2 linked regions of the Stegostoma tigrinum genome follow. The protein of the gene in region 2 interacts with the protein of the main gene of each other region in a pairwise test. Links are inferred from orthologs where the notes say so. Each region holds a gene or a part of one and is shown on either strand. Other genes may lie near its edges.

Region 1 (10,735 bases), on a different chromosome or scaffold from region 2:
CTTGAACTTTTTTTAGTTAACCATGGATGGCAAGTTTTCCCTTTAAATTTTTCTTTCTTGTTGGAAATGTATCCATTCTGGTATTTCGAAACATCTTGTTAAATGTCTGCTTTTGTATCTCACTTGACCTTTCCCCTAACCTAACTTAACAGCTTACTTTAGTATTTGTGTTTTCATACCTTCACAATTAATTATTTAAATTTAAAATACCAGATCTGGACTCACTCCTCTTTCCCTCAACTAAATATAGCCATCAATCATATTGTGATCACTTGTACTTAGTGGAACCTCCTCTATGAAGTTATTAATTAAGACAGTTTTGTTCAGTAAGAATCCCTAATATTTTAAACTGTACCTCCTAGTTATAGACACGAAGAAACATTCTCTCAGCATCCACATTCTTTAGTCCTTTCAGTATCTTATATATTAAGATTTTTAAAGGAAGAAAATATAAAAAGCAGAGATTTTGTGCTCCAAAAGTCAGTAGAAAGCTAACAAAATATGTGCATATATTTATTGTAATGAAAACAAAGTGCAGGCGAAATTCAGGTCTGATATGTGCAGAAAGAAACTGGGTTATGTGGAAGCCGATATGATTAGTCTTTTGAAAAGTGACAGATGCTGTTGAAAAAGGTGAGGCAGAGCAATTAGAATAGTAGGGAATGCCAGGTTAGAATGTTAGAGAGATTAGAGGTCAGAGGTATCACAGAACAAATGGCAGATGGTATGTTTGAGGACATGAGGCAAAGCATAAACACAGACAAATGTTTATAGCAAAATAAAAGTCAACTGTGATTCAAAGCACAATGGAGGACACAGTTCTTTCCTTCAGGTTATCTAAACTGATGTTGACCCAGACTCTTTTTACATGCAGTTTTCCAGACCTGGGTTTCTCCTGCACTGTTTACAGTATTTTGGGATTGAAGACAGACACGCTGGTTTATTTATGACTTGGGAGTATCATAGTTGTCTTAAGTTAAAATACTTCATGTAAACAAAAATGAGGTGAAGTGCTGGTTGGTAAAGAAATGTTAAATTAAAATATTTTTCATCCCATCAGAAATGAAGGAAATGTATTTGCATGAGTCCTCCTTCCTGCATAGTTGTTTTAGGGGCCTGGGAGGTGTGCAGTTAAATCTTTCTCACATTCAAACACAATTTTGCTGAATACATTTACTAAAAATGGCTGGTAAATAAATGCAGCCTTAGTTATTCAGCTTAGAAGTAAGTGCTGAATTTTCTTTTAGGGGCACAGTGGCTAACTCTGATGCCTCACAACACCATGAGCCCCGGTTCGATTCCACACTTGGATGACTATCTCTGAGGAGTTTGCACATTCTTACCTGTTTGTGTGGGTTCCCTCCGGGTGTTCTGGTTTCTCCCACAGTCCAAAGATATGCTGGTTAGATGGACTGGCATGCTACATTGCCCATAGTGTCCAGAGTTGCACAGGCAAGGTGGATGAGCCATGAGAAAATGCAAGGTTACTGGGATGGGTCTGGGTGGAATGCTTTACGGAATGTCAGTGTGGACTCAATGAACTGAATGACCTGCTTCCACATTGTAGAGATTCTGTGAATGTAGGTGGATGACACTTGATAAAATAAGAATAAATGAAGCAGATCATACTTTTATCTTTTGGTGGCACAGTGGTTAGCACTGTTGCCTCACAGCACCAAAACACCAGATTCGACTCCATCCTCAGGTGAATATGTGTAGAGTTTGCACATTCTCCCTGTGTCTGTGTGGGTTTCCTCCAGGTGCGCTGGTTTACTCCCACAGTGCAAAGATATGCAGGTTTGGTGGACTGGCTGTGCAAAGTTATCCAGAGTGTCCAGAGATGTGTAAGTTAGATGGATTAGCCATGGGAAAATGCAGGGTTACAGGGATAGGGTGGGTCTGGGTGGGATGCTCGTCAGAGGGTCAGTGCGGACTCGACGGACTGTTTGGCCTATTCCACACTGTAGGGATTTTATGAAATATTTCAGCATATGACATATTAGACATGAATTTAAGAAAATTATTTTAAGTATGGTATGATTTGTAAAATAAGATATTTTTGTTTTCAAACTATTGTGGAACAGCATAAATTTGTTCAGCTCATTATAAAGTGTTGAAATATTCAGCTTATTATACCTCAAATTATGGATGCATAATTTCTAACATGATGACATTTCCTCAAATATCATAAACAGTTTTGTACAGTACAACTAATTTATAAATAAATAGTCCAAACATGAATGTGCATATCATAACAGCGATTCCAAGCAAACATATGGATGATATTAAATCAGAGTGCTTGCATAGCTCATAATGGTCATTAGCTCAAAACCAAGCTTTTGAAATGTGTGTTGTACAGTATAAGAGCAACTGAGATTGAGGCAGCACGGTGGTTCAGTGGTTAGCACTGCTGCATCACAGCGCCAGGGACCTGGGTTCGATTCCCCCTCAGGCGAATGTCTGTGCAGAGTTTGCACATTCTCCTTGTGTCTGTGTGGGTTTCGTCTGGGTGCTCTGGTTTCTTCCCACAGTCCAAAGATTTGCACTTTTGGTGGATTAGTCATGCAAAATTGCCCATAGTGTTCAGGGATATGTAGATTAGGTGGGTTCTGAGGGACGGGTCTGGGTGGGAAGCTCTGAGCGGTGGTGTGGACTTGTTGGGCCGAAGGGCCTGTTTCCACCTTGTAGGGATTCTATGAAATGCAGATTGGTTCCATAACTACAACTAAATTGTAGTTCAAGTCCAGATGCTAATGCTATGAATTTACACCAGTGATGTAATCATTTCAAGTCAATCACAAAGTATTCCACAATATTTTGTTGAATCAGACTTGGTTCCAGTTGAGTGCTTGAAAATTACTTTTATATGACTTCTGAACCCGTCTTGTACTGAGGTGTTTTAAAAATGTATTGCAAATGGATCTTTATCCTATTTTACATAATCATCCGCTATTATATCAAATAATCCAAAGCCATACATCCCTACTTTGGCTTATCTAAACTTGTTCCCTCTACCAGTCTGTTCATCAAAATCTATCTGTAAATCAAAACACAGGAAAAAAAAATCAAGTTGCCTTGCTTAATATGTTATCAATGCTATCAAATTCCCAACCGAGCCTCATTACAAGACCATACTGTTTCTGGCATTAGATGATGAGAGCTGTCCAGCTTTTGACCAAACCACCTCTTTCACTTCCATGATCAATAGTCTAAATCTGGCTCTGAGTTAGGATCCCATCTCTCAAAACTACGAACAATATTCACTAAACAAATACTCTACTCTCCACACTCCATATTCTCAACTGCTGCTGTTTGTTTCCTTTCTCAAGTCTTGGATCAACACTGTGGTGTTGCCACTGTCTTCCCAACTTCATCACCATTTCCTGCTCAAACTCTGTTTTATTTTTATCAATACAAAGATACTTGGTAAAGTCACCAACAACCTTTGTGAACGTGACCAACGTTGAGTACATTTCCTCAACCCCAACCCTACCATCAGTGTGGTGAACTACTCTGCTGTATTGTTATTCTCCAAAGTTCATGTCAGTGGCACCACTCTTGGCTGGTCCAATTCCTTATTACAACAGATATTCTATTGCCTCGACTGACATCTATTCCTGGAGTTTCCTGACATGACGAGCTTGACTTTTTCCTCATCATATACAGGCTATTGCATTATTCGATCAGAAGAATGGGATTATCTTTTACATCTGCAACGTGTGCACATCACTTGTCTGATTCCTACTCCTCCAATGCAACATGATTGAAGACAAGATAGATGGAGTGATTTTTTGACAATATAGGCAGTTTAATGTTTGACAAACTGCAGCTGATGAATGGTGATACTAAGAAAGCAGAGAAGAGACGTTTAAATAACAATATCTAATAGTGAGATATCACAGATAAGAATTTCAATGGGACTACAGGAGGGATAGACAATACTGCAAAGGTGGAAAGAAGTGGTCATAGATGTTGATAGCATGAGCATTTGAAGCTTATCTTTTAAGTCAAATATCTGACGAGTTCTACACCCCATAACTGACAACATTGAAAAGCCGTAGGTAATAAGTACTGCCTTTAATTTTCAGCACCGACACTGGAGTACCAAACAGTGTTTTTTTAAATGAGGAACTGTCTCAAAGGTGTCAGCTTTCAGATGATAAGTCTAGTCTGCCTTCTCATTGGATAAAGATGAAAAGGCAGTATTGGTAGAGCAAGGGTTCACCCAGTTTCTTAGCCAATGTTTGTACTCCAATTAATATAATTTATCTATGCATTTATTTCAGTGCAATCTTTGGGAATCTTGTCTTGCACAAGAATCTTGGCTTTCACATTTTCCTACATAACAGCAGCAGCATTTCAGAAAGTTTCAAACCAGCTGTAAGGTCTTTGTAGGTGTTATTTAATTCAAATTCTTTCAACAGAGAAGGATGGCATGATGTGGCCACTACTAAATGCGGTGAATGCAATGAAAAATCATCAAAAAAAAAAAAAATCATTCTTGATTTTAGTAATTGTAGTCTTGAAACCTGCAAACATTAGCAGGATTGTCAGGATTCACAATGTGCTATAGGGCATAGAGCTGATCAAGAACATATCTGAAAGTCTTTAAAAAGATTACAGGTGAGTGAGCTAGTTAAAGAAAATGAATAGTTTGAGGGTTTTTTAGAGGAATGGTTTTCATAATAGCCAGCAGAGTGTAATTCAACAAGCAAACTGTGCCATTAACAATGACAGATACTAAGATGGTTGGACAAAGTAATTTACTGTGGTTGGAAGTTAAATGTGGATGGAATTGAGGGAGCAGTAAATAGAAGACAAGTATAGAGGGAAGGCAAGCATAAGAGGGGATGCAAAAATATGGCAATGGGAGAAACTGTAATGTAACAGGATTTGTAAAGATAACAGGATGAGATGTCCATAAAAATTAATCTTAGAAACAGCTACATGCCATTTTCAAACAGAAACCAAGGAAGCCAAGCCTATCACACCTAGTTAACAAGGTGTAGAGCTGGATTTCGGACCCACACCCTTCATCAGTTCCTACAGCCTTCCTGCTCCTATGATGCTGCTTGACCTGCTGTGTTCATCCAGCTCTACACCTTGTTATCTCAGATTCTCCAGCATCTGCAGTTCCTACTATCTCTATCACACGTAGTGCCTGAAAATGAGATGTGGACGGGAGCAAAAGCTCATCACAAAGAAAAAGGACACAAGTATATAATTGGTTTTGAAAGATAACAGAAAAATGTTTAATGGAGTTACAATGCAAATTGAGTAAAACATGTCAATTGCCAATGAGAACAGGGTTTCTCAAACCGGGCAGTGAGACCCAATCCCAACCTCTCTCCCCATTGCTCACAGAGGAACCGTTAGCACAGTGCGGAAGAACTGCAGTAAAATTATTCCTAAAGGTTTGCAGAAAAAGTGAATCAATTGTAAAATGAAACTTTTAAAGTGCTCCTTCTGCACATGTCGTCTACTTACACAGGACGATCAACTATCGTTCGGGTCGAGTGAGGGAGATAATTACATGAAATTCAGGGTCACACACAACAACCCTGAAAAATCCAGCGGCAGGTTATTGACAACAATCTGTTTATATTTTTCAATAGGTGAAAAGATAATTTCACGTACATCATGCTGCAGATATCCCAGGAATTCGGGAAATACTGTGTAGAAAACAGTGGCAGACAGGAGTCAGGATGAAGTCAACCAGGAGTGAGGGGAAAAAGGGAAATATATCTCACGACTAATGTCCGACCAACAAAAGGCTACAGAATGAAATAAACGGGTCTGTTAAAGCACGGGAACCCTATTCTCGGTTTTCCAGTTAAAGGAGTAATCTTTCAAATGAAGAATGTTTCACATTTCTAACAGCTATTAGAACAGACCCAGTCAGTACTCTTGTCAATGAGGAAGAAAAAGTTTGTCTCAAAAACCCCCGCCCCCTTCAAGACCGAGGCGAAGGTCGGTCAGTCAGTCAGTCAGGCAGGCTCAACATAAAATACAGGATTGAGAAGCCGTTTTCTCTGATGAAGGGTCTAGGCCCGAAACGTCAGCTTTTGTGCTCCTGAGATGCTGCTTAGCCTGCTGTGTTCATCCAGCTTCATGCTTTGTTATCCTGTCCTGGTTATCGTCCCCACGGCAACATCAAGAAAGAAAAGAGCTTTCCGAAGCATACTTGCCTCCATCGTGTTATTAAATTTCCCTCCAATCAAACCTCCCACGGTTTAAGTAAGGAATTTCATTCCTGCACAAAAAGCGCCCCATGACGCAAACCGAAACCAAAATGACAACTACACGACCGCTCAACCAAACCTAAAACAGGGCCTTCCCCTCTGATTGGCGTTTCGTTCACGATTTTTGTTGCCGCTCTGCCCTTCAGCCGAAGCACTTATTGAACGGCACCAGCGTCCGTCAAACTGCCTTTCAGTCTCATTGGGTGGAGCTGTACCGGTTAGCTTTCAGGTAGGACGGCTGAGCTAATAGTGAGAACCCGTATTGGGACGTGGCACCGAGTTGGTGTCCAATCGGAGAGCAGCAGGCGTGCGCGTGTTGTCGGGGGGAAATGGGGAAAAGAAAGAGTGGAAGAAAATCGCAGCGTTTTGGGAGTAACTTAACCAAGAAGCAGAAAAAACATCTGCGGGAATTCGGGGAGCAACATCCCTTTCACGATGAGTGAGTCTGTCTGCTTTAGAATCACCTTAAATTGGCCGTCGCTCCCAGTCTTGCACCCGTGTTTCGGTCTCATCATCCTGAAGTGTGGTGTTGGAATAATGTGAACAATTTTCGAAGTTTAAAGTCGAATTATACTGACATTGGAGGTAGTGCAGAGAAGGTTCATGAGACTAATCCTGGATGTAGTGGAGCGCTCTTATGAATATTGTGTGGGTTGGGCCTATACTCATTGTAGTTTGAAAGAATGAGAGGCAACTTTGGTGAAACACGTAAGATTCTTCAGGAACTTGACAGGGTAGATGTGGAAAGTTTGTTTACCCTTAGGGGCGAGTCTAGAACCAAGGGTATAGCCTCAGAATACGAGACCATACATTTAAGAACATGGGTTTAATAATTTTTTAAAAAGTGCAGGATTAAGCAATTCAGTCCCTAGAACCTTGCATCCATTGCTGTGTGGGATAGTGAATTCCACAAATTCTTGACCCTTTTGGGAGAAGTAATTCCTCTTCATCTATTTAAAATTTGCTAGTGGCAAGAGGGTTTCTTCTCTAAGGCTAGTGAATCTTTGTAATTCTTTACTGCAGAAGGCTGTGAGGGTAAAATCACCATTGTTCCAGAGAACCATAACACTGTTGTCTCAGTAGCGGTCTCCAAGCCTCAGGTCAAGTTGAGAAAGTGGGACCTTTTGTGGCAACTTCACCTGGAGCGAGCATTTAACCTGGCTGTTGAAGTCTTTTTCACAAACCGGCAGTCCAGGGACTGTCAAAGCTGTGACATTCAGTATATTCGAGGCTGAGGGAGACAGATTTCTAATCGGTGGGGAAATTGAGTGGGATAGGGAAAATACAGGAAAGTAGAGTTGGGGGTTATCAAGTTGGTCATGGTCTCATTAAATGGTGGAGCAGACTCGACGGGCTGAATGGTCTGCTTCTTCTCTGACATCATATACTGTGATCGGTTTGCTCTGAAATTCTTTGCCCATTGTGTAACTATCAGTATCTGTAGCCTCCATATGTCCTCTACATGACTTAGTTTTATGCTTTTTCTGTTATCTGCAAAATTGGCCATCTTACCTTCTGTTCCTTTAAACAGGTCATTTATGAAAATTGTAAACAATTGAAGTTCTTGCACTAATTTATATGGCACACCATTACATCTCACCAACCACGAAAAGATCCATCTTTGCCTACTCTCTGCCAATCTGCCACTCTATCCATGCCAATATACTACCCCATGTTGGAATAATGTGAACAATTTTCGAAGTTTAAAGTCGAATTATACTGACATCGGAGGAAAATAAAACATGATGTTTTATTTTCAACGGCAACATTTGATGTGGCAACTTCTGAAATACCCTCTAAAAATCAGAATGCTGAAAATTAATAACTTATAATTATTAGCATGCCTTTAACAACAGATTCTGATGTTTTCCCTATGGCAGACATTAAACTGATTGGCCTGTAGTTTTCTGTTTGTTGATTCCTCGTTTTGACTAAAGGAGAAACATTTATTATTTTGCAACCCACTACAATTGTATCTTGTTTTGGAAAAGAAAATTAAAATCAACATATTACCTATCGCAGTTGGAACTTATTTTGAGAACATAGAATAAAGACGTTGCCAATAGAGTGTGGAGCTGGAGGAACACAGCATGTCAGGCAGCATCAGAGGAACAGGAAAGTTGACGTTTCGGGTGTGCATCCTTCATAACCAGCCCTAACTTCCCCCCCAGCTCCACACTGTATTGACTGATTCCAACATCTACAGTTCTTGCTGTCTCCAAATAAAGATGCTTGTTAGTTTTCAATGCCAGCGATTTACTCAGTACTACTTGAGTGATTGTAATTTTCCTGAGTACCTCACACCCTTTTATTTTCTGATTTATTATTGCTTCTGGGATGTTGCTTTATATCTTTTATAGAGAAAATTATAAAATACCTGCTCAATTTGTCTGCCATCAGGCTATCTTGCAATTCTGTGTAATATTTGGGTATTATTTTGCAGGATTTTGGAAAAAGCAGCGCCAGTTCAGATTGTTGATCCGGTGAGTTTTGAATACTACTATTGTGGATTCTTTGTAGTATCTGGAGGTAACACTGTCTGGAAGACAGAATGCTTCATGTGTTAGTTAAACTTAATTTTAAAAATATTGAATTAAATGGCAGCTAGAAATGAACATCTCTGGAAATGTCTAGATAAAACACGCAATGTTTGATGGGTTGAGAGTGCAAGTTCTTTGCTGTGAAAGTTTGTAACAATGATGTAGGCACTGATGTTTATTTTAATAGTTTATTATGCTTAATGCTAGAAAAAAAGACATTTCACAGAGATAATTTAAGTAAACATTAAGTAAACATTACACCAAGACACAGATGACAGGTGTTAGACCCGTTTTCCAAAAATCAAAGGAGGTGCAAGGTTTATGAAAGAATTCCCAAGCATGGAAATGTAGATAGCTAAAGAAACAGCTAGTGTAGGTAGAGTGAAGAGAGTGGGAGAATGTCTGACTTTTCTGGACAGTGTCAGAAATTACACAATGCTATTTCAAAGTGACAGGAGGAAAGTTAATGGGAGATATGCGTGGAAAATTCTTTATGCAGAAGGTGGTGGGTGCCTGGAATGCATTGACAGTGGAGGTGGTAGATGCAAACATGATAGTCTCTTTAAAGATGTATCTGGACAGGTACATGGATGGGCAGAGAGCAAAGGGATACTGACCCTTAGAAAATAGATGACAGGTTTAGACAGAGGATCTCAATCGGTGCAGGCTTAGAGGGCTAAAGGGCCTGTTCCTGTGCTGTAATTTTCTTTGTTCTCTGTTCTTTTTAATCCAGCAGTTTTATTTGAAGTCACAAGCTTTTGGAGCCTCAATCCTTTAGAAGGACTGAGGCTCCAAAGCTTATGTTTTCAAATCGACCTGTTGACCTATAATCTGGTGTTGTGTGATTTCTGACCTTGCCCACCCCAGTCTAATACTGGCACCTCCATGCCGCAGAGAAGTCGGAAGCAGTGATTGTGGGAGAAGTTTAGGATTGGACGTGCTCAATGGTAAGAAAGGGTAAAACCATCTGGGAATTGAACACTAGAATGAAAATTGAGATGGTGAGACAGTTGGAATCATTGTATGCTAGCAAAGGTAGGGATGATTAGATACAGAGGAGTTGGTGTGGAACAGGATCTAGAGTCAGAGTTTTAGATGGGTGAAAAATGTATGCATTGAGGAGGAAATTGATGTAATAGAGTTTGGAGGTGAGAATGATGTCGAGTTTTACAGTTGGACTGAGGTAATTGGGCAGGAAAACATTAACCAAGGCAGTATTTGCAATGGAGGTATACAAGTCAGAAACTCACTGTTGTTGAGCGAGGTGCCAAAAATGTAAATAGTTGGTTTCAGTCTTAGATAGTGGCTCATGAGGTTCGTACAATTCTCAGACAAAATGTCTGAAGAACATGGTGACTGCAGATATTCAATTTTTTTTTTCACTTGCTCACGGGATGAGGACATTAGTGGCTAGACCAGCATTTGTTGCTCATCCCCAATTGCCCAGAAAGCAGCTCAGAGTTTGGAGTTTGGGTTTGGAGTCACAAGTAGCCAGACCAGGCAAGGATGGCAGTTTCCTTCCCTAATGGATACTAGTGAACTAGATGGATTTTTCTGACAATTGGCAATGCGTTTTTAAAATTTAATTCAAATTCCACCATCAGCCATGGTGAGATTCAAACCTGGGTCCCAGACCATTGCCTGGGTCTCTGGATTAAAAGTTCAGTGATAATATTGCTAGATTGTTGTGTCCCTTCACCATTCTTACTATTATTTTTGTCCAAACAATTTCAGGCTGAAAGCTCAGAGCAGACCGATTCAGAGAGCGATGCAGAATCTGGTATGGAACAGATGACTGCCTACCAACATCTGTGTTCCACCTTCAAAAATGTTGCGGAGGATCCAGACTCTGGTTCTGATAATGACAGTGAAAGTGAATTTGAAGAGGTTGTGAAGGATATGATCCAAGATGAGGAGGAAGAGAAAGATGATAATGAAATCAACAACAAAAAT
Region 2 (10,708 bases):
TATCTGTGTATAGATCTAATGTTATCCATAATTAAAACACCACTCCTCCCTCTTGCTCTCCTCTCAGCTTCCTATGGCATCTATTCCCTGCAACATTAAGCTGCTATCCTATCCATCTCTGCAATTGCTACGACATCAGTCCCATGTTCTGAATCATGCTCAGTTTCTGCATTCCCTGTTAGGATGGATGACAAATACAGTTCAGTCTAAGAAGCTCCTGAGATGCTGCTTGGCCTGCTGTGTTCATCCAGCCTCACATTTTATTATCTTGGAATTCTCCAGCATCTGCAGTTCCCATTATCTCTGATACTATTTTAACCTCACTGCGAAGCCTCTTCCAGGGATGCCTAACCTGAAGAAGTCACCCTCCGCCCTCCGGACCATCCTCAGGGAATCTCTCTCCCATTGCAACTCTCTTGTAATCTCCATCTTCGGTCCGCCTCCCCCTCTCTCCCTATTTATTCCAGTTCCCTCTCCCCATCCCCCTCTCTGATGAAGGGTCCAGGCCCGAAACGTCAGCTTTTGTGCTCCTGAGATGCTGCTTGGCCTGCTGTGTTCATCCAGCCTCACATTTTATTGTCTAAGAAGCACATCTCATTCTCTGCTTTGTTCCTGCCTGCCCTGACTGATAGTTAGGAAAAAGAGTAAGATAACAGTCTTGGACTGCTCTTTCCTCACTATCTCACTGGGTCCCACCACCACCTTACTAGTTTACTTATGAAAGGAAGGATTTAAAGTCACAGTTTATTCAAATCCTGAGTGCTTTTCATTATATCTTACTGTGCTTCTTCAGGTCTATGAATATAAACAAAATAATCTCCTTGACTTTGCACAACCAAGAAAAGCAACACCATGACGTTAGGTTGACTGCCTTAGTGTTTCTCTCAATGCTACTGGCAAATAGTCAACTAGATTTCTTTTAAAAAGCTGACTCACTCAGAACTGAGTGAACATAGCTCAAGCACTAATCTGAGATGCTTTTCACAAAGGGCAAGTCTTATTTACTTGAAAAAACCCAATTAATCTAGTTTATGCATTTCTGACGGGTGTTTGAAAAAATGCCATATTAGGCTTGTCAGCAAAGTTGAAGCTCATGCAATAAGTGGTGACATATACAAATTGTCCAACTGACAGGAAGCAAGGCAACTGAAGTTTGGACAGGAGGCAGCCATAACTTGGCAAGCTCGATCAGTTTTTATTGCCCATCTCTAGTTGTCTTTTGATCCGAGTGGTTTGCTAGGATCATCTTAGGTAGTTAAAAGTCAGCCACATTGCTGTGAATCTGAAATCACATGCAACCAAGTTCAGCTAAGGACAGCAGATTTCTTTTCCTTAAGGATACTAAAAAACCAGATAGATTTACGACAATCAACTGTGGCTGCCATGAGGCTAACTCCTAGTTTCAGTTGTTTTTAAATTGAATTCCAATTTTGCCATTTAAATGCATGTACTTAAAAGCATTAGCTTTGGATTCTGGGGGTTCTACTAACAGACATGACATGGCTGCCTCCCCAGGGTTTCATCAGAGGTTGGTAATGGAAACTTGTTTTTTGATGAACAATGTTAATAACCTAGATGTGCAAAGTACAATTTTAAAATATGCAGCAGTAAAAATCTTTCAAGTATTGAACAGCAAGGATACATTACAAAAGACAGGCTTGTGCAATGAAAAAACAAGTAGCAAATAAAATTTGATGTGAGCTAAGTAGTCAGTTTTGATAGGAAGACTGAGGAAAGAGCATACACAAAAAGGATACAGTTCTGAAACATGGCAGAGTACAAAGGAAGGAGTTATGGCAAGACTTCACAAAATATGACTGAACTAGAATGATATTGTGCCAGAATGGAATACATTGCCAGAACACCACAAAAGTGGTTTTTATGCTGCAGCTGTACAAAACTCTGGTGTGGCCACACTTGTAGTATTGCGTACAGTTCTGGTCACCGCATTATGAGGAGGATATGGAAGCTTTGGAAAGGGTACAGAGGAGATTTACTAGGATGTTACCTGGTATCAAGGGAAGGTCTTACGAGGAAAGGCTGAGGGACTGGAGGCTGTTTTCATTAGAGAGACGGTTGAGAGGTGACTTAATTGAGACACAAGATAATCAGAGGGTTAGATAGGGAGAGCCTTTTTCCCCCAGATGGTGACAGCAAGCACAAGGGGGCTTAGCTTTAAATTGAGGGGTGAAAGATAATAGGACCGATGTCAGAGGTAGTTTCCTTATTCAGTAAGGGGAAGGGTATAGAATGCTTTGCCTGCAACAGTAGTAGATTCACCAACTTTAAGTCATCATTGGACAAGCACCTGGACTTCAGATTGCAGATTGGTATGGCAGGTCAGCACAACATCAAGGGTTGAAGGGCCTGTACTGTGCTGTTCTACACTTTGAAATCAATTGCATTTTTTGCTATTTTAAGTCATTGAGTAAGTCAGTGATATATTTGCCAAATGCAATGACTTCTAATGGCTCCAAAAAAATTGCCTCAATTAATATGGGCAGCATGGTGGCTCAGTGGTTAGCACTGCTGCCTCACAGCACTGGGTACCCAGGTTTGATTCTAGCCTCGGGTGTCCATGTGGAATTTGCACATTCTCAGTGTGGGTTTCCTCTGGGTGCTCCAGTTTCCTCCCACAGTCCAAAGATGTGCAGGTTAGGTGGATTGGCTATGCTAAAATACCTAGCGTTCAGGGATGTGTAGCTTAGGTGGGTTGGAGGGCACACAGGGGAAGGAAGAGAAAGAAATGGGTCTGGTGGGATGCACTGAGGTTCAGTGTGGACTTGTTGGGCCAAAAGGGCCTGTTTCCACATTGTTCGATCCTATGGCTAATATTCATGCAAAAACAAACATTAAAGTTCAATTTTAGCAGAAAGCTTTTGAAAAAAGTTAGACAACTGTACAAAACTTCACTGGTTCAACAATTGATGAACTATAAGTACTGAAGGGTTTTAAAAATGTCACAATATTAATTGTTTTGAACCAAAGCAATCTGCCATTCCAATACCCATAATGGAAATATTTCCAAAACAAAAATACCTTAAATACAACAGTCCAAAAAAGCAAACAAACTAGCAAACCATTCATGATCCAATTAATACAAGATGTTTACCAAGCTGAACAATATTGCACAGATGGCCTAACTCAAATCAATGTTGTTGTTAAGTTAGACCAGAACAAAATCCACATATTCATACAATGTTACATCATTAACTTTGTTTAACAACTGTAGGATTAAAGGAGAAAACCAACCAGGCATCTATCATTCTGCCCACCCCAATATGTCAATTGCAACAAGCAAATGTTTGCTATCGCTGTATACTATGTTTAAGTATTGTTACAGCGAGCAAAGTGTTCCGGACCTCCGAATTAATTTATTTGTAAAATCGTTTAGTTTTCTCATCGAGGGCACCAATGATACAGGATTACAACTACCCTGATTTTGAAGGCAAGGCATAGAGAGCTACCATTACGAACAGACAACACAAAATTCCATCTCTCTCGCCATCCACCAACCCACCCTGCCCAACTAAATAACGCCATAAATCCAAACTCGCTGTCATTTACTTATCGCAAACACGAAACTTTGCAGCGAAAAAAAACCTGTCTGACCCTGTAGATTAACTTATATTGGTTGCAGCTCATCACTACCGCAGCAGTCCTGCTCCAAATCCCCTCTGCTCGCAGTATCAACAGGCTATGCTAACCGTCTAGCATTCGAATACGGTCTCGAGCGACGGTACACAACGCTTCCGGGTCACGAGAAATCGTCACCTGCCAGCTTTCTGGAACAATCGTGTTCCTTGTTTAGGGCGGCGTATACTGTTTGTTCGTCGTCACAGACAATATTGCAGTTGTTTGTCATCCACTGCTTGACAAATGAGAAGCGACGAGTCTCATTTCATCGAAAGTTTGTGCTGACACTTTCTATCGCCGTGCAAACTTAATTTAATTTTTCCTGGAAACTGAACACGCCGTGCTTTCTGGTTGCGGCCGCCACCACAGATTATTACGGTCATCTGTAAATTGAACAGTGTAGGCAGAAAGTACAACAGGTCAGTTAGTATCTGAAACGAAAGAAAAGACGAGTTACGTTTTTGCTAGTGTGCGGCTTGTTTTTCAAATAATACAAGTCAGAGCAGCCAGTGTAAAAGTTAATTAAACTTGTTGCTGGATTTAAAACCAAAAAAACTGCAGATGCTGTCAATCAGGAACAAAAGCAAAGCTGATGGAAAAGCTCAGCACGTCTGGTAGCATCTGTGTTTGGGGGGGGGTGGGGGGACCAGTGTTAACGTCTGAAGTCCCACCATCCTTCCTTAGACCGGATGGTGGCTGGAAAACATGACTTTATATGGAGAAAATAGGGAGTAAACGATAGGATAGAGCACGGAGAGAGAGAAACGCATTTGGACAGACAAAGGAGTTGCTAATGATCAGGCTGGGAGGGTGATTAGTTGTTAATGGGAACTGTTAATGACTAACAACAGGGGGTGTGCAGTGGCAGGCGATGTGGGAACAAGGCCTGGTGTGTGGGCCTGGGTGCTGGGACGTGGGAGAGTTTAGGCCCTAAAATTATTGAACTCGATATCGAGTCCAGAGGGCTGTATAGGGTTCCCAAGCGGCAAATGAGGTGTCGTTCCTCCAGTTTGCGTTGGGCTTCACTGGAACACTGTAGCAAGCCGGAGACAGAGATGTTGGCCAGGGAGTAGGGTGGTGCATTGAAGTGGCAGGCAACGGGTAACACTTGACCTGCACTTCCAGGAATCTAGTCTACTGAATTCACTGCTCACAATGTGATCTCCTCTACATGGGGAAAACTAAGTGTAGACTTGTGGGAAAACTAAGTGTAGACTTGGCGACCTTATCTCAAAACATCTACATTCTGCTCGCACAAAAGACCCTGAGCTACTTGTTGCTTGCCACTTTAATGCATCACCCTGCTCCCTGGCCAACATCTCTGACTCCGGCTTGCTACAGTGTTCCAGTGAACCCCAATGCAAGCTGGAAGAACGACACCTCATTTGCTGCTTGGGGACCCTACAACCCTCTGGACTCAATATTGAGTTCAATAATTTTAGGGCCTAAACTCTCTCATGTCCCAGACCCCCCCACCCCACACACCAGGCCTTGTTACCACATAGCCTGCCATTACACATCCACTGTGGTTAGTCACTAACAGTTCCCATTAACAAGTACTCGCCCTCCCAACCTGATCATTAGCAGCTCCTTTGTCTGTCCACATGTGTTTCTCTCCCTTTGGGCTCTATCCCATCGTTTACTCCTTACCCCACCCACCTCCCTATTTTCTGCATATAAACTGATGTTTTCCCAGCCACCATCAGTTCTAAGGAAGGGTCACCAGACCTGAAACATTAAGCCTGGTTTTCTTCTCCACAGATGCTGCCAGATGTGCTGAACTTTTCCAGCAACTTTGTTTTTGTTCCTGTAGTTGCTAGATATCTGAAATGAAAAGCAAAAAATGCTAAAGATGGGTCTAGGCCTGAAACATCAGCCTTTCTGCTTCTCTGATGCTCCTTGGCCTGCTGTGTTCATCCAGCTCTACACCTTGCTATAAATATAAAACAGACCTTCCCGCATCACTAGAAACAAACAGGTAGTGTTTGTTATGAGCCTTCATCAGAACGGACACTTTTTGAGGAAAAAATGAGGAGTGACAGACAATAAGGAAGTACTGCGAAAGAAAAATCAAAAATGAAATGCTGAGAAGGAATGATGTGAGGAAAAATGAACATGGAGATAGAGTAAACAAAGGAAGAAAAATGTGTTTATGGGTGTAAATGACGATTGCAAAATTAATTTCAACTGATGTCTTACTAAAAATGAAGGTAGGGTTATGGTTTAAAATAGTTAAACTCATGTTAATTTCAGAAAGCTATAAAGTACCTAAACAAAAGACGTTGTTCTGTAAACACCAATTGAAAATGCACTTCACTTGAACAGAATAGATGTCAAGATGGTTGTGAATAGAGAATTAAAATGGTTGACAGATTGAATTTCAGGGACACGTTTGAGGGCTGCAGGGGATATCCCACAAAACGAAGGCATTGGGCAGGTTTTCCTTCATTGGTCAGAACTTTGAGTAGGAATTGGGATGTCATGTTGTTGAGGCCACTTTTAAAATATCGCCTTCTGTTCTGATCTCCCTGCCAAAGGAAACATGCTGTTAAACTTGAAAGGGCTCAGAAAAGACATACAAGGCTGTTGTCAGGATTAGACTGTTTGAGTTTAAGTGGGAGCCATTGCTTTCCTGGATTATAGGAGACTAAGGGGTGACTTTATAGATGTTTAGAAAATCAATGAGAGGTATGGATAGGATGAATAGCCAAGGTTTGTTCACAGGAAAGGGAGTCTAAAACCAGAGGGCATAGGCTTAATATGAGAGGGAAACGATTTAAAAGGGACCTGAGGGGCAACTTTTTCATGGGGACAGTGGTGCAATGCTTGGAATGAGCTGCCAGAGGAGGAGGAGGAGGAGGTGGTGGAGGCAGGTTTGTTACAACATTTAAAAGTCACGTAGATGCATGCATGAATAGGAAGAGTTTAGAGGAATATGGGTCAAATAATGGCAGATGGGACTAGACCAGTTTCAGATATCTGGTTGGTGCGGACAAGTTACCGAAGAGTCTGTTTCAATGCTGTATAACTCTTTGACCCTATAATCCGTATTTAGTTTTGCCAGGATACAATAGACCACATCGTGAGCAGGGAATGGCAAGTTGCTAAAATGAAAGAAGTCTAGTTTCTATGATATTGCACATGCTAAATATCAGGTTTGTTCAGAGTTCCAAATTTCATTTAATTGCGAGCAATTTCAGTAACATTAATGGAATAGGTGTGCTATCTATTATTTCTTCTGATGTGTAGTATATGTGCTTTCCTTTACTGGCTTCCATTTCTGGCTTGCATGCCATACAGCATGCAGAGGATGTTGACAAATTTGAGGGAACCCAAATTCTAGAAGGATACACATAAGCCATCATGATTGATTGAGTCAAAGACTTCCATGAAGCTAAAAAAAACTGTACATGTGGCCACTGAAAACAAGCAAGCGAATATAGTAGGTAGTTAGAAAGGCAAATTATATGATTGCCCTTCTTGTTGGAGGGTTTGAACTGAGGAGTAAGGATATCTTACAGCAGCTGTGTTGGGCCTTGTTGAGACCGTGCCTAGAGTACTGTCATTAGCTTTGCTGTCCCTAAGGGAAGAAAAGATATATTTATTCTCATCACTAGAGAAGTAATATCAGACAAACGAATGTGGCTAAAGGCAGATCAGTCCCTGATCATGATGCTTTGCATTCTCAAATTCCTAGAAAATGTAGCTGCAGAGATAGTGATGTAATTTTCCAAAATTCCTTTGATTTTGGAGATGTGCCGAAGGACTGGAAAATTGCTAAGGTGACACCCATATTCAAAATGGAAGAGATGCAAAAGTGGGTAACTCTAGGTCAATTTGCCCAACATTTATAGTTGGAAAAATTTGGAATAAATTATTGAGGAAGCAATAGCAGCACATTTTGAAAATCCTAATTTCATTGAGCCAAATCCGCATGGTTTCATGAAAGGGAAACCATGTCTATTCTAATGTATTAGTTTTTTGACGAAGTCTGAACCAGAGGAGACCCAGTCAATGTGGTGTATGGACATCCAGAAGGAGTTTGACAAGGGACCTCTCAAAAGGTTAAATCAAATGTTAAGAATCCTCAGTGTTAATAGTAGTATATTGGCATGGATGGAGAATTGGTTGATGGCAGCAAACAGCAATAAGGGCCTCTCCTTCAGGGAGCAACCTGTAATCAGTGTGGTTCCACGGGAATTAGTGCTAGGATATCAATTGTTATATTAATAACTTGGAGTAAGGAAGCATTTGTATGGAAGCCAAATTTGCAAATGACTCAAAAATAGGTGGAAAGACAAGTTGAAAGAGCAATGAAAATAGTTTACAGAACAATATTGATCAGTTAAGTGAGTGGGCAAAATGTTGCCAAATGGAATGTAATGTGGGAAAATGTGAAGTTGTTTATTTCCAAAGGGAGAACAAAAGTATTATTTAAATAGAGAAAAATTGTAGAATGCTGCAAAACAAAGGGATTTTGGAGAACTTCTGCATGAAACACGGAAAGCTGCATATGCAGCAGGTGATCAGAAAGGTTAATGGAATGTTGGCCCTTATTTCAAAGGGTTTGGAGTGTAAAGTAGACAAATCCTATTGCAGCTGTACAAGGTGCTGGTGAGACCACATTTACAGTACTATGAGCAGTTTTGTTCATTAAAGAAAATACATAACATCATTAGCAGCAGGTCAGATGTTCCCCAGAATTATTCCTGGAATGGATGCATTGTCTTAGGAGGAAAAGCTAAACCAGTTGGTAGATGACTTACTGGAATTTAGAAGAATGAGAGGCGATCTCATCACTTGATGGTAAATTCTGAGGATGTTACCCTCATGGGAGAGTTGAGGATCAGAGGGCATAATCTCAGAATAAAGGGGCACCAACTTAAGGCTGAAATGAGGGGGAATTTCCTCAATGTTAAGTGTCTTTGGAACTCATCTCAGAGAGCTGCAGGTGCAGAGTCGTTGTTTATATTTAAGGCTTAGCTTGCCTTATGATTTGTTGGGGAATCAATATTCCTGGGGGAAAAGCAGGAAAGTGGACATGTGTGTCAAATTAGCTATGATCCTGCTGAATGATGGAGATGGCCAAATGGCAAGCATTTCTTATCGTCTTGAGAATTGTAATGAAGTTTCATTGATCTGGGATGGCAGGTTTGTCATATGATGAGGGACTGGCCAAATTGCGCATGTTCTTATTGCAGTTGGCAAGTATGGGAGGGGATATATTCAAATTTACAAAGTGCTAACAGGCTGAATAGACTGGATGGAGATATGCTTTTTGCCCTGCCTGGGGGATCCAAAATGGGATCATACTCTCAGGATACGCAGTGGACCATATTGGACTGAGGTGAGACGTTTCTTCACTCAAATGGTGAGGAGGGCTGTGGAGGCAAAGCCACTGAATATAATTAAGAAATAAATGGTAGTTTTCTGAAAGCTGAAGGTGTCAAGATATATGAGAGAGAGCAGAAGTATGGCGTTGAGATAGAGGATCAATCTTGATCATGTTGAATATTGGAGCAGGCTGATAAAGATCTTCTGAACTGAGTCTTCGTTTGACCCCCAGGTTCTCTTTGGGTGCTTGGAAAGCTGTAAGCACTTAAGCATTTATCTCAGCAGACAGCATGTATAGTCCTCTTGCTTAAGTTACAGGATATTTTGGAAAAGCGGTTTTGATCCACTGCTAAAATCAAATTAATTTCTGACCTTAAAGAAGTCGTCACCTTCATAGAACCTAAAAGCCGAATTGTTGGCTTTTTAGAATCCATAGTCCAATATTTTATTAAAATAGAAAACTTATAATACCTTTAATTGATTTGTTATGATTCCAGTTAATGTTATTACTGGAAAAATTAGATAACAGACTGAAATCTGGCTTGATAGATCGTATTTTATTTTTCTTTTGGTTTTAATGAGATGGTCTTTCACTGAAATTCACACTCATGCAATGATGCAGGTTTGGGTTTAACAATAAAACAAAAGTTTATTATGTAAAAGAAGTGCAGATAGAATAAAGCAAGCTACTTCCATATACCATAGATTTAAGATAAATTATATTACATACAGTGCCAGTAATTCCAACTGCATCCCATTACGGTGTGCAAACAGCAGAGAGAATTCCCTTGCCCATCCCACAACTTACCTGTGTCTTCAATTACTGGTCCCAAGAATCTGATAGCCTCATTCTTGGTTTGTCATATAAGTGAGCTTTGACTTGATCAGCTTAATATGACCCTTGTAGGATTTTAACCAAACATTTATAGTTTGTAACTTTCAATCTGAGCTCCTTATACTTGTTGCCTATCTGTGAGACACAACAGTACATACATAGATGAAGATACAACAGAGACATTTAGAGCTCTCTAAAGCTATAATTCATTTATTAAGTACTTAAATAGCCCACACTTTTAACTACGAGAAATATCTCAATCACTGTCTTTCACTACCCTGATTTCTGTAATTAAACCAGAACATCTTTACCCAGGGGAGGTCGCTGCTGGCCTCGCTAAAACTGTTCAGTGTCTTCACCGTGCCTCTTCACATAAGGTATTTCTTATAATGTGAATCTATGAAGTATTGTTGAACAAAAAGATTTCTTCAGGCTCCTTACACACAAGTCTTTGAACCACGTGTCTTATTTGGAATGATACATACATGTGACCAATCCAGAATGTTTTGTCCAAGTGTTTGCCTTATCTCGTAGAGACAACAATTCCTGATTTCCCACAGTTTTAACTCTTAGCAGACCTGACTGACTCAGCAAAATTCCATTGACAGAATACACATTTTTAAGCCTGTTATCGCTTCTTGTTATCTTCAGCCTTATCCAACGTACTGAAGTCACATTTTTCTTAAGTCCTAAAACTACTACTTTGCACATTGAGCTTTAGCCAAGACATCTATAACATTGCTCCAAAGTGAAACTGAAAATCCCTTTCTTAACCAATGGATGCTTCCCTGTAGCCCGAAGAAAATCCATAATCTGCTATCTAAAGGTCAAATGCTCTACACTGTTTACTTTGTTTGCTTGAAAACACTCACGTATAAATAAAATTCCATTTCTTTCCAGGAA

The links. The genes of interacting proteins can lie anywhere in the genome.
Region 1: the proteins of mipol1 (region 2) and utp25 interact in binary tests that used the Homo sapiens proteins (3 or more experiments, as listed by UniProt). The link is inferred for Stegostoma tigrinum from reciprocal best matches to the Homo sapiens genes MIPOL1 and UTP25.

What each region holds. Positions count from the first base shown.
Region 1 is NC_081362.1:63,457,756-63,468,490, reverse strand, and holds the start of utp25 (U3 small nucleolar RNA-associated protein 25 homolog), read left to right. Parts: upstream 1-6,529; 5' UTR 6,530-6,571; coding exon 6,572-6,681; intron 6,682-8,685; coding exon 8,686-8,725; intron 8,726-10,516; coding exon 10,517-10,735. UniProt on the Homo sapiens protein: Component of the ribosomal small subunit processome for the biogenesis of ribosomes, functions in pre-ribosomal RNA (pre-rRNA) processing. Essential for embryonic development in part through the regulation of p53 pathway.
Region 2 is NC_081363.1:57,566,022-57,576,729, reverse strand, and holds the start of mipol1 (mirror-image polydactyly gene 1 protein), read right to left. Parts: upstream 4,264-10,708; 5' UTR 3,775-4,263; intron 3,748-3,774; exon of another isoform or gene 3,613-3,747; intron 1-3,612.